Linked DNA regions of Saccharomyces cerevisiae S288C. The protein of the gene in region 2 binds, or shares a complex with, the protein of the main gene of each other region. Each region holds a gene or a part of one and is shown on either strand. Other genes may lie near its edges.

Region 1 (4,597 bases), on a different chromosome or scaffold from region 2:
TGACAACAGTTTTGCTGATAACACTAAGATCTGACATCTTGTCTCAGGACCCTCATTTGAAAAATTCTGGATTAGCCTCCTCAAAACGTCCGGACATATCTTAAATTCAATCGAGGCAATTTCACCAAATAACCAAACAATACCTGCACGAGCATTATCAGCCAAACTCGTTTGAACTGTTAATAAATCTGCAAGCTTGAAGATTATGCGAAGATGTTTTGTAGGATTTTTTTGCACCAGCATCCTGATAACATTCACGTATGCATCTAGGACAGAAGCAGAGAGGTTGTGGGATTCCATATGATCAATTAACCACTTCATTACATGTGATTCCCAACTCGTTGACAATTGGCCACATCGAGATAATGACTTAACCGCCATAATAACAACATTTTCTGGGAAATGAGCACTGGCAACATAATATTTCAATTCTTTGAATATTTCTTTAACGTTTGATTCATTTATTAACGTGGACAAAATTTGGATCTTCCAAATTGATGCCACAATAGGATCTTTGGGGAAAACGTAAAATTTCTTGGTGTAGGGTAAAAATAGTGTCTGGTCTAAGATCGATAAGAAGTGAATTGCTTGTAAAAGCATTTCTTTGTTACCTTGGTTTTCTGTCATGGTTACCGTTCTAACCAATGCTTCAATAAATTTAGTATTTTTCATCTGCAATGGTGAAGCTAACTGATATAGCGCATTGCAACACGATAAAATCACTGTAGGGTTGGAACTATAAATTAAGCAATTCAAACTCTGTAGAAATAAATCTAAATCAGGGTCATTTACCACCTCGTAAGATGGGTATTCAATCTCGTTGTATTTATCTGGTAAAGGACAACTCCTTGGGGAACCTTCTGATGATTTATCGACCACAGTTGGTTTTGGTAAATACTGCTTACAGTACTTGATTAGCAGCTCAATTAAATATGATTGTGACCACGAATCTAGTTGCTTAATTATTCTACAATATCTGCGAAAATGTCCATGCAATAGCTCCAAGTGATCCGCATAACATTCTTTGTAAGCTAGGACAGCACAGGATATCACCTTAGGATCTGTATCTGCCATTAATTCTTTCAGAATATCCAACAATTCTTCATGATAGTCATTCTTTCCAGCCCTATATAATTTGATAATGGCCAAGGCGACTTCACCACGAACCATTGCAGATGGATCTGTAACCAATTTCTTGACAGTATGCAAAATTATAGGTGCTAATGATGACATTTTCATGTCAGAAAGGGCACTCAAAGCAAAGCATCTCAGTTCGGAATTCGAATCAGACAATGATTTTTGAAGAGAATTAATAGATAACAGGGTCAGGTTTGGGTCATTTTCTGCAAATCTAAGTAAATACAGGTGAATAAGTCTTTTCACTTTGGTGTCATTAGTGGTGATATTCTTTACAACATCAGCAAAGTATAATTGAACGTCAATAGAGTCATCATCGGAAGCCATTATAGATATTATTCTCTTCATTGCATCTCTAACTTCTCTAGAGTTCCTAGAATTTAACAAGGTGACTAACTGTTGAGGATTGATGTTTTGAGAATAATAAGTATAGGAGGATTCACCCAGCTTAGAGGTGGCTACCGCGGCAGCTTCCCTCGTTATTACTTTGGCCGTATCCAACGCCGATGCAATACGGTGAATTGAATCTACCATTGCTGGTTGTCCACTTTTCGATTGTTTGCTGTCTTTGGTTTACCTTTCTTTTCTTTATATATTTATATATATGGTTCTTCAAAAATGATTTGTCTGAATTTGTCAAAATCTCAATAACTCGGACACGCTTTGATGGTAACATACCTAAAAGTTATGTACGTTAATATAAATTATAGATACATATTATGTGCAGCGATATACAGGCAGTACGCTAGCATTTATATTATCCTAGCATACTTCTCTTACGACCACGCAACCTGACCTCTTCGAATCTTTTGGTAACTTCTTTCAGTTTCTTGGCACCTTTCGCACCTTGTTCACGATAGACCTCTTCGAACCCCTCCATGATCCAAGCATTGTATTTTTCCGCATGCTTCGAATGTGTACTTAAAATAGCTCTCTCTAAGACGTATAAATCGACGCCTTTATCTTCGACCAGGTTTGAAACTGAGCCCAGACCGAAATCAATCAAATGAGGCGTCCATCTCGCACCATCTCGCACGAGAACAATGTTAGAACTTGTCAAATCACCATGACAGTAGTCATTCCAGTGCAACAACCCAATTTGGCGCCCCACTTTCCGTAGTGTAGTTGCTACAAGATCACTATATGGATCTTGGTCATGCATCCAAAGGAAGTTCTTTAGGTTACTAAAACCGTGCCCTCCGGGAAGATCTTCTCCAAGGAACTCTAACCAAATGAATCCATTGTATGGATCACACGCTATCAGTTGAGGGACACATAGCCCTGGAATCAAGTATAATTTGGCCAATAAACGCGACTCATTCAACGTACGATGTTTTGTTAGTGCCTGGTCTATTTGTGGATGTCTATAACGCTTTGGTGGCCTATATTTGATAATATACTTTTGATGAGAATCCTTTGCTCTTGGGAGATATGGGTGAGTAGTCGTTGTGAAAACAATGGCTTCTGCACCTTGAGAAATAGGTGCAATGTCCACATCAGGAGTCAGGTAGGAAGATACTTTATCAATGAATTCTTGCGTCATAATGAGCAAAGCGTATAACCTTTTCCGCTGTCGTATTCATCACTTATTTGATTTCAAGTAAGGTTATCTTTGTCCTTCAAGTTGGTGATGCGCCGGCGATTTTTTCAACCTTGTTGCTGCTAAAATAATGGAAAATCAAAATAAATTTGTGCTGACCCAAATATTTATGTATATAAAAGGGGTTATGTAATTGTCATTATGACAAATTCAGGATTGCATAAACTCAAGAATGCGAGCGATAGATGGTATGTTGGTCCAGCGATCCATATTACGAGAGTAGTTTAATATTGGGCCCGTATGATAACCTTGGTGTTCAACCAGCACATTTTTGGCGGTAAAGTGGTTACATCCCTCGCTAGCGTCACTCATTTTCTTTGCCAAGATCTTGTTTTGAAAGCTCAACAACTCATCACTACCATAAGTAATCATCACAGAGCACTTTTTCAGAATATCTTGCCACATTTTAGTTTCGAAATTCTTTTCAATATTAACAAAAGGGTCGCTGGTAAAATCGACGTTTGGGTTGTTTCCTACAAACATTCGCCCAAACATCGAATGACTCTTCAAACATAGACCATCCCATTCTTGTGTTCCTTGCATATATTCCTTTTCTCCCTCGTGGAAGAAAGTGGCATTGGCCCAGGGACTTATGGCTATGACTTTTTTCGGGTATATTTCTCTGTGACACTTTCTTAAATATAAAACAATGTTCAAAACAGCATTGCCACCAGCAGAATCCCCCATAATCACTACATTTTTGCACCCCATAGTCTTAACAACGTAATCAAAAATGGCCACATTTTGTAAAATTTGCAGAGGGTACTTTTTCGACTGGTCATCGGTAGCTGTAACGGTATAATCTGGTACAAGAATGGCCATTTTAGGAAAGGCATTTCGCATATTATTCAAGAAAGAAAACGACGTAGGCGTCAATTTAAGAGCATAACCACCCCCATGATAGAATACTAAAACTGGATCTGTCGTGGGGTCAAATCCTTCCGGCATAACATATTGATAAAACTTTGTGCTAACTATTTTGGGTGCGTTTAATTGATGGTCTTGGAAAATATTGTTTTCTGGAGATTTCTGATCTTCTATAGGAATGTTGCATTTGACATATGTTGGACTAGAAAATGTAGAAGGATATAAACAAACAAATAAAGGATTGAGCACGTATTGACAGATGCGTTCATCGAGGATCCAAGAACTTTGTCTTAAAAAACTTCTGTTGACATGGTCAAGGCAAAACCTACGTTTGCGTTGAAAAATGATCTTCATACTGTCGAGGATTATAAATACAGGCACCACTGTGAACAATAGAGCGGCAAATTTCAATCCATGGAACAAATGCAAATGGATGGTACTCAATCGAAAGCCCGCATCATTTTGATCTGCATCCTCACTTGATACAGCGCTAATAATTTCATTCTCTTGAAGCCGATAATATTCAACTTTTGAGTCGAGACCAGAGTTGGCTGCCATTCTTCTTTGAAACCTTTTCCTTTAAAATTGATTTGTGCTGTTCTCATTTCAAGCGACGCAGGGTATTTTTGGTTTTCAGTTTCTTTTTCCCTCAATTCTATATAATTATGGCGCTAACACGTTAAACATTTGTTATTATAAAGCAGAAGTTATTTATCAGAAATCAAATCATGAATATTCTCAGCTTAACACTACACAATTACTCAACTAAAAGAAAGGGTATAAACGTGTTAGCGGGAGAATTGTTTTTTAAACTTGTTTTTATATCAGAGTAAAATCTATATATTAATTGATACACTTTTATCATGTGAAGATTGAAAGGGAAAAGAGAGGAAAAAAAATGCTTCCGATGAACCTTACACTTGTTGACCACCATATTTGGCTCTCCATTCATCGATTTTCTTTTCATCAATACGTTGGAACAAGTATTCTGCC
Region 2 (5,865 bases):
AAACATGCACCATTGTTTAATGAACGTGCAGGCATTTTAATGTCGCTATGTGTAGGTGTGAAGATAAGGTCAAGTTGCTGAATACATTTGCCCGTCGTTAAATCCCAGTGGAATATTTTTTTGTCCCTAGATCCGCTAACCAAAGCTTCAGAATCAAAAGACAGGGCTGTGATTTCGTCTTTATGTAACTCAAAATTATGGATACATGGTGTAACAATTTCTTCTGTCTTCTCCTTCAATGGACTATGGTCCAAATATATTTCTCTACTCAGATTTAAGTCCCATAACTTCAGAGTGGCATCCTTACTTCCAGTAATCAACATATTGTAATTTTTCTTATCTATTTGCATGCAATTAACAGTAGCAAGGTGACCAGGCAGCTCTCCAACTTGTATCCCATGGTTCAAATCCCACACTTTTACTATACGATCTTGGTAGCTTGATGAGCACAAGGTTCCCCATGGTGTATCAAAGTCTAATGCGGTTATGCTGTTTCCATGTTCGCCATGGGGTATTGTCATTCTGAAAGCCGTGGTATTTCGGCTATATGTTTCTGAGATAATTTGCCTGTTTTTATCGTGGCTTTTTTCATGGGGCATCTTGTAAAAATCTTTTAATCTCGTATCCTTACTTTCAACATCACATAACGACGATATGGCTTCTTCATTTTGCGTGAAGGACGACGCTTCAGATGATCTTTCTTCTTCCATTTGCTTCCGTAAGCTCTGTTCACGATCAGCTTCCAAATTGTATTCCTCGATAAAATTTATTCTATCCTTTATCAGTGTTACATCATTCTCAAGATTGGTAGACTTACTATCAATGTGCTTAACCCTTTCCAGGATTTTTAATTTCCTGGATTCTAGTTCGTTGATCATGGAATCTAATCTGGTCAACTCATCCATCTCTAACGTTTTATTGATTGACAGATTTTCCACGTTAGTTTCTACATCCTCAAGTAAATGTGTTAGGTCAATTCTAGAGTACGTTTTATTCACAAAACCAGTATTAATATCCGGCAATTGAACGTATTTTTCCTTATCACTATTCGTGGCCCCGTCTACATTGTCTAACAACAGTCTCTGTTGAATGATGGAAACGGTAGCTTTGAATCCTTCAAATAAAGAAGGTAAATTCTTTTCAGCGGCACCGTTGGGTAGCGGGTATCGCTGCTCATCTAAATGAGCAAGTATTCTGAAAGTTGTTGCAGAGTCTGCATAATTGTTTTGAAAGGAAAATATCCCTACTTGTCCTTTCTGGGTATCTTTTGTACTTTCGGGCCAAGCCACCTCTCTGAACAGTAGAAGTTTGGAAAGATATCTGTAGATGGGGCTCGTTATATATTTTTGAAATTGTTGTTGCGCTAGTATGGCATGTGGTAGCTTATTAAGTATAATTTCGATTGGTTTAGCTACCAGAGAGCTTTCTCCTCTAGTATCGCCCGAACCCATATAGAGATACTCTTTTTTACTCTCGCTCGTGGTAATCTTATATGTCATTCATGGTTAGTTTTTTTTTTATGACTATTTTTTTTTTCCATTACGATGAGGAAAGTTTATGTGAGAAACATGAAGCTACATGCTTTAACAGGAGACAGACCCATGGTGGATCCGCTCAGTTGGTTTTATACATTTAGATGTAAGGTAATACATAATTATATGATTTGCAGTGGCCTATGTATGCAATTAGGACAAAGGAAATATCTATTCTTGAGGAGAAGTGCTCCCCTACTCTTGCAAGTTGGCTATCTCCATTTCTAGCCGCCTAATTTCATCTTTTTCTTTTCGAATAATCTTAGCAACGTCGTGAGAAGAAGAAGGATGGTACTGTGACATAGTCTTTAAGCGATCATCTTGAAGCAAAACTTCTTTCTTGATGAAGCGCAATTTGGAAGAAAGTTGTTCATAATTATGGTACAATTGGTCGTAATCCTGCTTGAACTCTGTTAGTGGCCATAAATCTGTTACTTCGGCCATAACTTTAAGAATTAAATCAGTAGGGAAATCCTCGACAAAGATGGTTTTTCTTCTTTGGTTATTGGATTCTTCTTCCATGAGCACGCTTCCATTTTCCAAGGCATATAGGAGCCTTTGAATTTGCGGATCATCCTTGAACACGGCTGATAATGCTTTGAATGTACCTGAACTTGAATTTGAAATGACAGAGGATCCTATAAGATCGGTATCAAAAATAAAACCGTTCAAGCCACCGCCACTTGTAGTGGCGGTTCTTCTCCTTTTATTGTTCAAATCAAGACGATCTTTGTTCAAATATACTTCCTTGGGCACATGGATGATCGGTTTTTCCCCTGGTCTGCCCAGCCTTCTATTTCTTTTCATGTCCGTATCTCGTTTAATAACATAGTCGAATACTCCCTCCTTGCCGTCTCTACGTGAAACGGATTGTTTCTCAGGGTTGACTTTGAACAGAAGATACGCCTCGTCGTGGTTACAGTCCTTTATTAGTCTAGTAATGTCTTTTCTAATGCTTGCCTTGTTGCTTGCTCCCTGTAGGATGGCATTATGAAAAATTCCTGGTGGCTTGAAATAGAGTGTGGACATAGAGTCCACCGCCCTATTAATATCATCTATACATCTATCCAAGCTTTCCCCCATTCTGTAATTGCCACGTCTTATTTTGTTAGGTGATGATCTAATTTTTTTGAGCTTTGTTTATTGATTATTTTCAAATGTCTCTTGCTTATTTTCGCGCTTCCACAAGGTTATACACTGAGCTGTAAATGTAAGGTGTATGGCATATATAAATATATATATATATTCGTAGTGTGAACATTAGGCTAACTGTAACAAAAATCGTTAATCACGCCAGGCTGCGTATACTTCATCGGTTCTGAATTTCTGCGTAACAACAGTTTCAGAAAAGTCCTTCACGATCCCACCCATTCTATACTCTAGTAGTCCTGCTTGGGCAATCATAACTCCGTTATCGATACAAAACCTATTATCTGTAGCATGTACTTGCCCATTGGCCCTGTCTTTACACATTTGCGCCATCATTTCTTGTAATCGCACGTTACAACCAACACCGCCTACGATCAAAACTTGATTGGAGTTAACGTGAGCCATAGCTCTTTCTGTTATTTCAACTAGCATGGCGAATAGGTTCTCTTGCAGAGAGTAGCAAAGATCCTCTACAGTGACTTTTTGCTCGCCCGTTGTCTTGTCGAATAGGATCTTATTTTTCTTATTGCCCTTAAATAGATCCTTGGCAAGTAAATCGATGGAAGCCAATATACCACTCATCGAAAGATCCATCCCCTTTACTGTATAGGGAAGTTCTACCAAGTTTTCTTTGTGAGGGGCTTTTTTAGCTAACTGCTCGATGTTGTAGCCAGGCGAGGGCTCATTAGGTATCTTCAGAGTTCTTGCAAATCTATCAAGACAATTACCGATAGCAATATCAAGCGTTTCACCAAAGATACGGTACCTTTTTTCCGAGTATGCAATAACTTGTGTATTTCCACCACTTACATACAGTACCACAGGATTTTGAGCTTTAGTGATTTCTCTCCCCATTTCGATGTGACCAATGCAGTGGTTTACTCCCACCAGTGGCACGTCCCACAGTAAGGAGCACGTTCTGGCGGCGATGACAACTGAATGCAGAGGGGCCCCCATGCCGGGACCTTTGGTAAAGCAAATTACATCAATGTCTAGTGTCGGGCTTTTGATGTCAGCTTCGGCCAGTGCTTGTTTTATGAGTCTTATGCACCAATTTCTGTGATGCCTTGCCGTGTCTCGAGGCAAAAATCCCTCCCCAGGAGGTGTGACATATGTGTCTCTAATATTAGAAAGCATCTCAGCTTCGCAATCATAAGATAGATCGCTGTTGGCATGTTTAGGCAGAAGCGGATGCTTAACTATACCAACGCCCAGTTTATTTGCAGAACCTTCAAGTCCAAGCGCAATGTAGTAGTCCCTGCCATTTTTGGGTGGGATAGTGTTCAAGTTGACCATTTTGCTCCCGACTGCATTAGGGAACGCTTGGGAATTCCCTTCACGTAAAAGATAAATATATGCATCGTTGCACGAAGTAAAAATGGTTACTCTCGAACTCATCATAATGAAAGAATTCAGTTTTTCCGTATAAAGCGATATTACAGGAGGAATAAAAAGCAAAATAAAAAATCTCCGCGACGGGGAATTGAACCCCGATCTGGCACGCGACAAGCGCCCATTCTGACCATTAAACTATCACGGAACGTTATTTGTTGGATTTTTTCTCTTAGTTTTAAATATTTATATTTCGTCGAATTGGTACCTCTACAGCTCAGAAGCAGATGTCTTCAAGTTTTTTTATTGTGTCTAAATAAGAATCAACCATTATCTTGACAAATGGGTGAATTTTAAGATAATTGTTGGGATGCCATTGATGATAAAGACTATAATATACATACACAGAATATACTAGAAATTGTACTCGAGCACATAGGAATCCTCAAAATGGAATCGATATTTCTACATAATAATACTACGATTATTTTCTGCTTTCGTTTTATATGTTTCATTATCCTATTATATTATCAATCCTTGCATTTCAGCTTTCATTAGATTGATGACTATTTTTCAACCTTATGTCCTCTTCTTACACCGCATATGATAGTATACTAGCAATATGAATATTACTAAACAGATGATATTTCAACATCATGTTTTGCTTAGTAGACTCTTGCGGGCGTTCCATCCGTGTGAAATACATCATTTACACCTCGCTCTGGGTCAAGTAATCAAAAAATACCTCGTCGAATATCTTCGACAAATCTGTCGCTTGGTTTATGTTTGACCTGATGTATATAAAATCATCACTACCCAATTTAGAGAACACATTGCGTTGCCCGGCCGGCAAAAAATCCTGGGCCAAAAGTTAAAAGAAACTTTCTCATACTCACTCTGAAGTTGTACTATTACGAAGCACTAAAGCATTGATAGATAAATCAACACAGAACATACATGATTAAATTAGACACAGCTCTCTGTATTTTTTACTGTTTGAACTAAGGTTCTAATACTTACACATTCTTTTCAACCCATCAGATGGTGTCTTGCCCCTGCTTACGTAACCTACAACAATAGATTAGACACACCAGTGCCAAGGACAATATGTTGCGTTCTGACTAGTCGAAGTATCATTACGCTGTGCAGATCGACCTGACACCAGACACAAAGGAGAATAGGGGCAGCATGAGTTCCGTCGGCGACTCATTCCGACCTTCCACAGGTCCGTTGATTACTTTTTCACTGATCCGGTGGAATCTATGGTTGTTTTTTTCATCATGATATCTGTTTTAGGACTTTTTTTTTCAGCCGATCGCTTATCTGCTCACTAGAATCGTAATCAGTGATATTTTTATTAATAATTATTATTTATTTTTTTTTATACCATTTCCTTTTGATAAGGGGTCGTTGGTGCCGTGCCGCTATCAGGCAGCCTCACTAATCTACCCATTGACCTCATGCAGCAAAGTCACATCGCCCATATCTCTCGAGTGCGATAACGGGGAACTTGATTTGGTAACTGATAAGATTGTTAAATGTCAGTTTGGATGCTTTTTCTTACGTCCGATTAGCTTATCTTCTGGAGCAACCGGCCATTTACCTCCTCATAGTAAATTAAACATGATAAGCGCATAGTTGGGGCAACACACCTTTCTTCCGGAATTCGCTCTGGATGAGACATATAAAGATGAAGGTGAAGTCCACTTAAATGAATGTCAATGAGACGATGTTTTTTCTCCTAGATTGATTTTTGAATTCCTTGTATACAAAGTCTTGTTTTCTTATTGTCCTCAACAAAACAAAAGTAGAAAAGAACAGACCAAGGACAGCAACATTTATAAGAAACAAA

What was found.
Region 1: KAE1 (region 2) and BUD32 share a complex: the UniProt entries of both Saccharomyces cerevisiae proteins name them as parts of the EKC/KEOPS complex.

What each region holds. Positions count from the first base shown.
Region 1 is NC_001139.9:1,015,080-1,019,676, forward strand, and holds BUD32 (serine/threonine protein kinase BUD32), read right to left. Parts: upstream 2,681-4,597; coding exon 1,895-2,680; downstream 1-1,894. Other genes in the region: APL6 (AP-3 complex subunit beta), read right to left, coding at 1-1,671; SAY1 (steryl deacetylase), read right to left, coding at 2,888-4,162; methionine--tRNA ligase MES1, read right to left, coding at 4,519-4,597. UniProt on the Saccharomyces cerevisiae protein: Component of the EKC/KEOPS complex that is required for the formation of a threonylcarbamoyl group on adenosine at position 37 (t(6)A37) in tRNAs that read codons beginning with adenine.
Region 2 is NC_001143.9:509,183-515,047, forward strand, and holds KAE1 (tRNA N6-adenosine threonylcarbamoyltransferase), read right to left. Parts: upstream 3,978-5,865; coding exon 2,817-3,977; downstream 1-2,816. Other genes in the region: CAF4 (Caf4p), read right to left, coding at 1-1,451; SPC34 (Spc34p), read right to left, coding at 1,728-2,615. UniProt on the Saccharomyces cerevisiae protein: Component of the EKC/KEOPS complex that is required for the formation of a threonylcarbamoyl group on adenosine at position 37 (t(6)A37) in tRNAs that read codons beginning with adenine.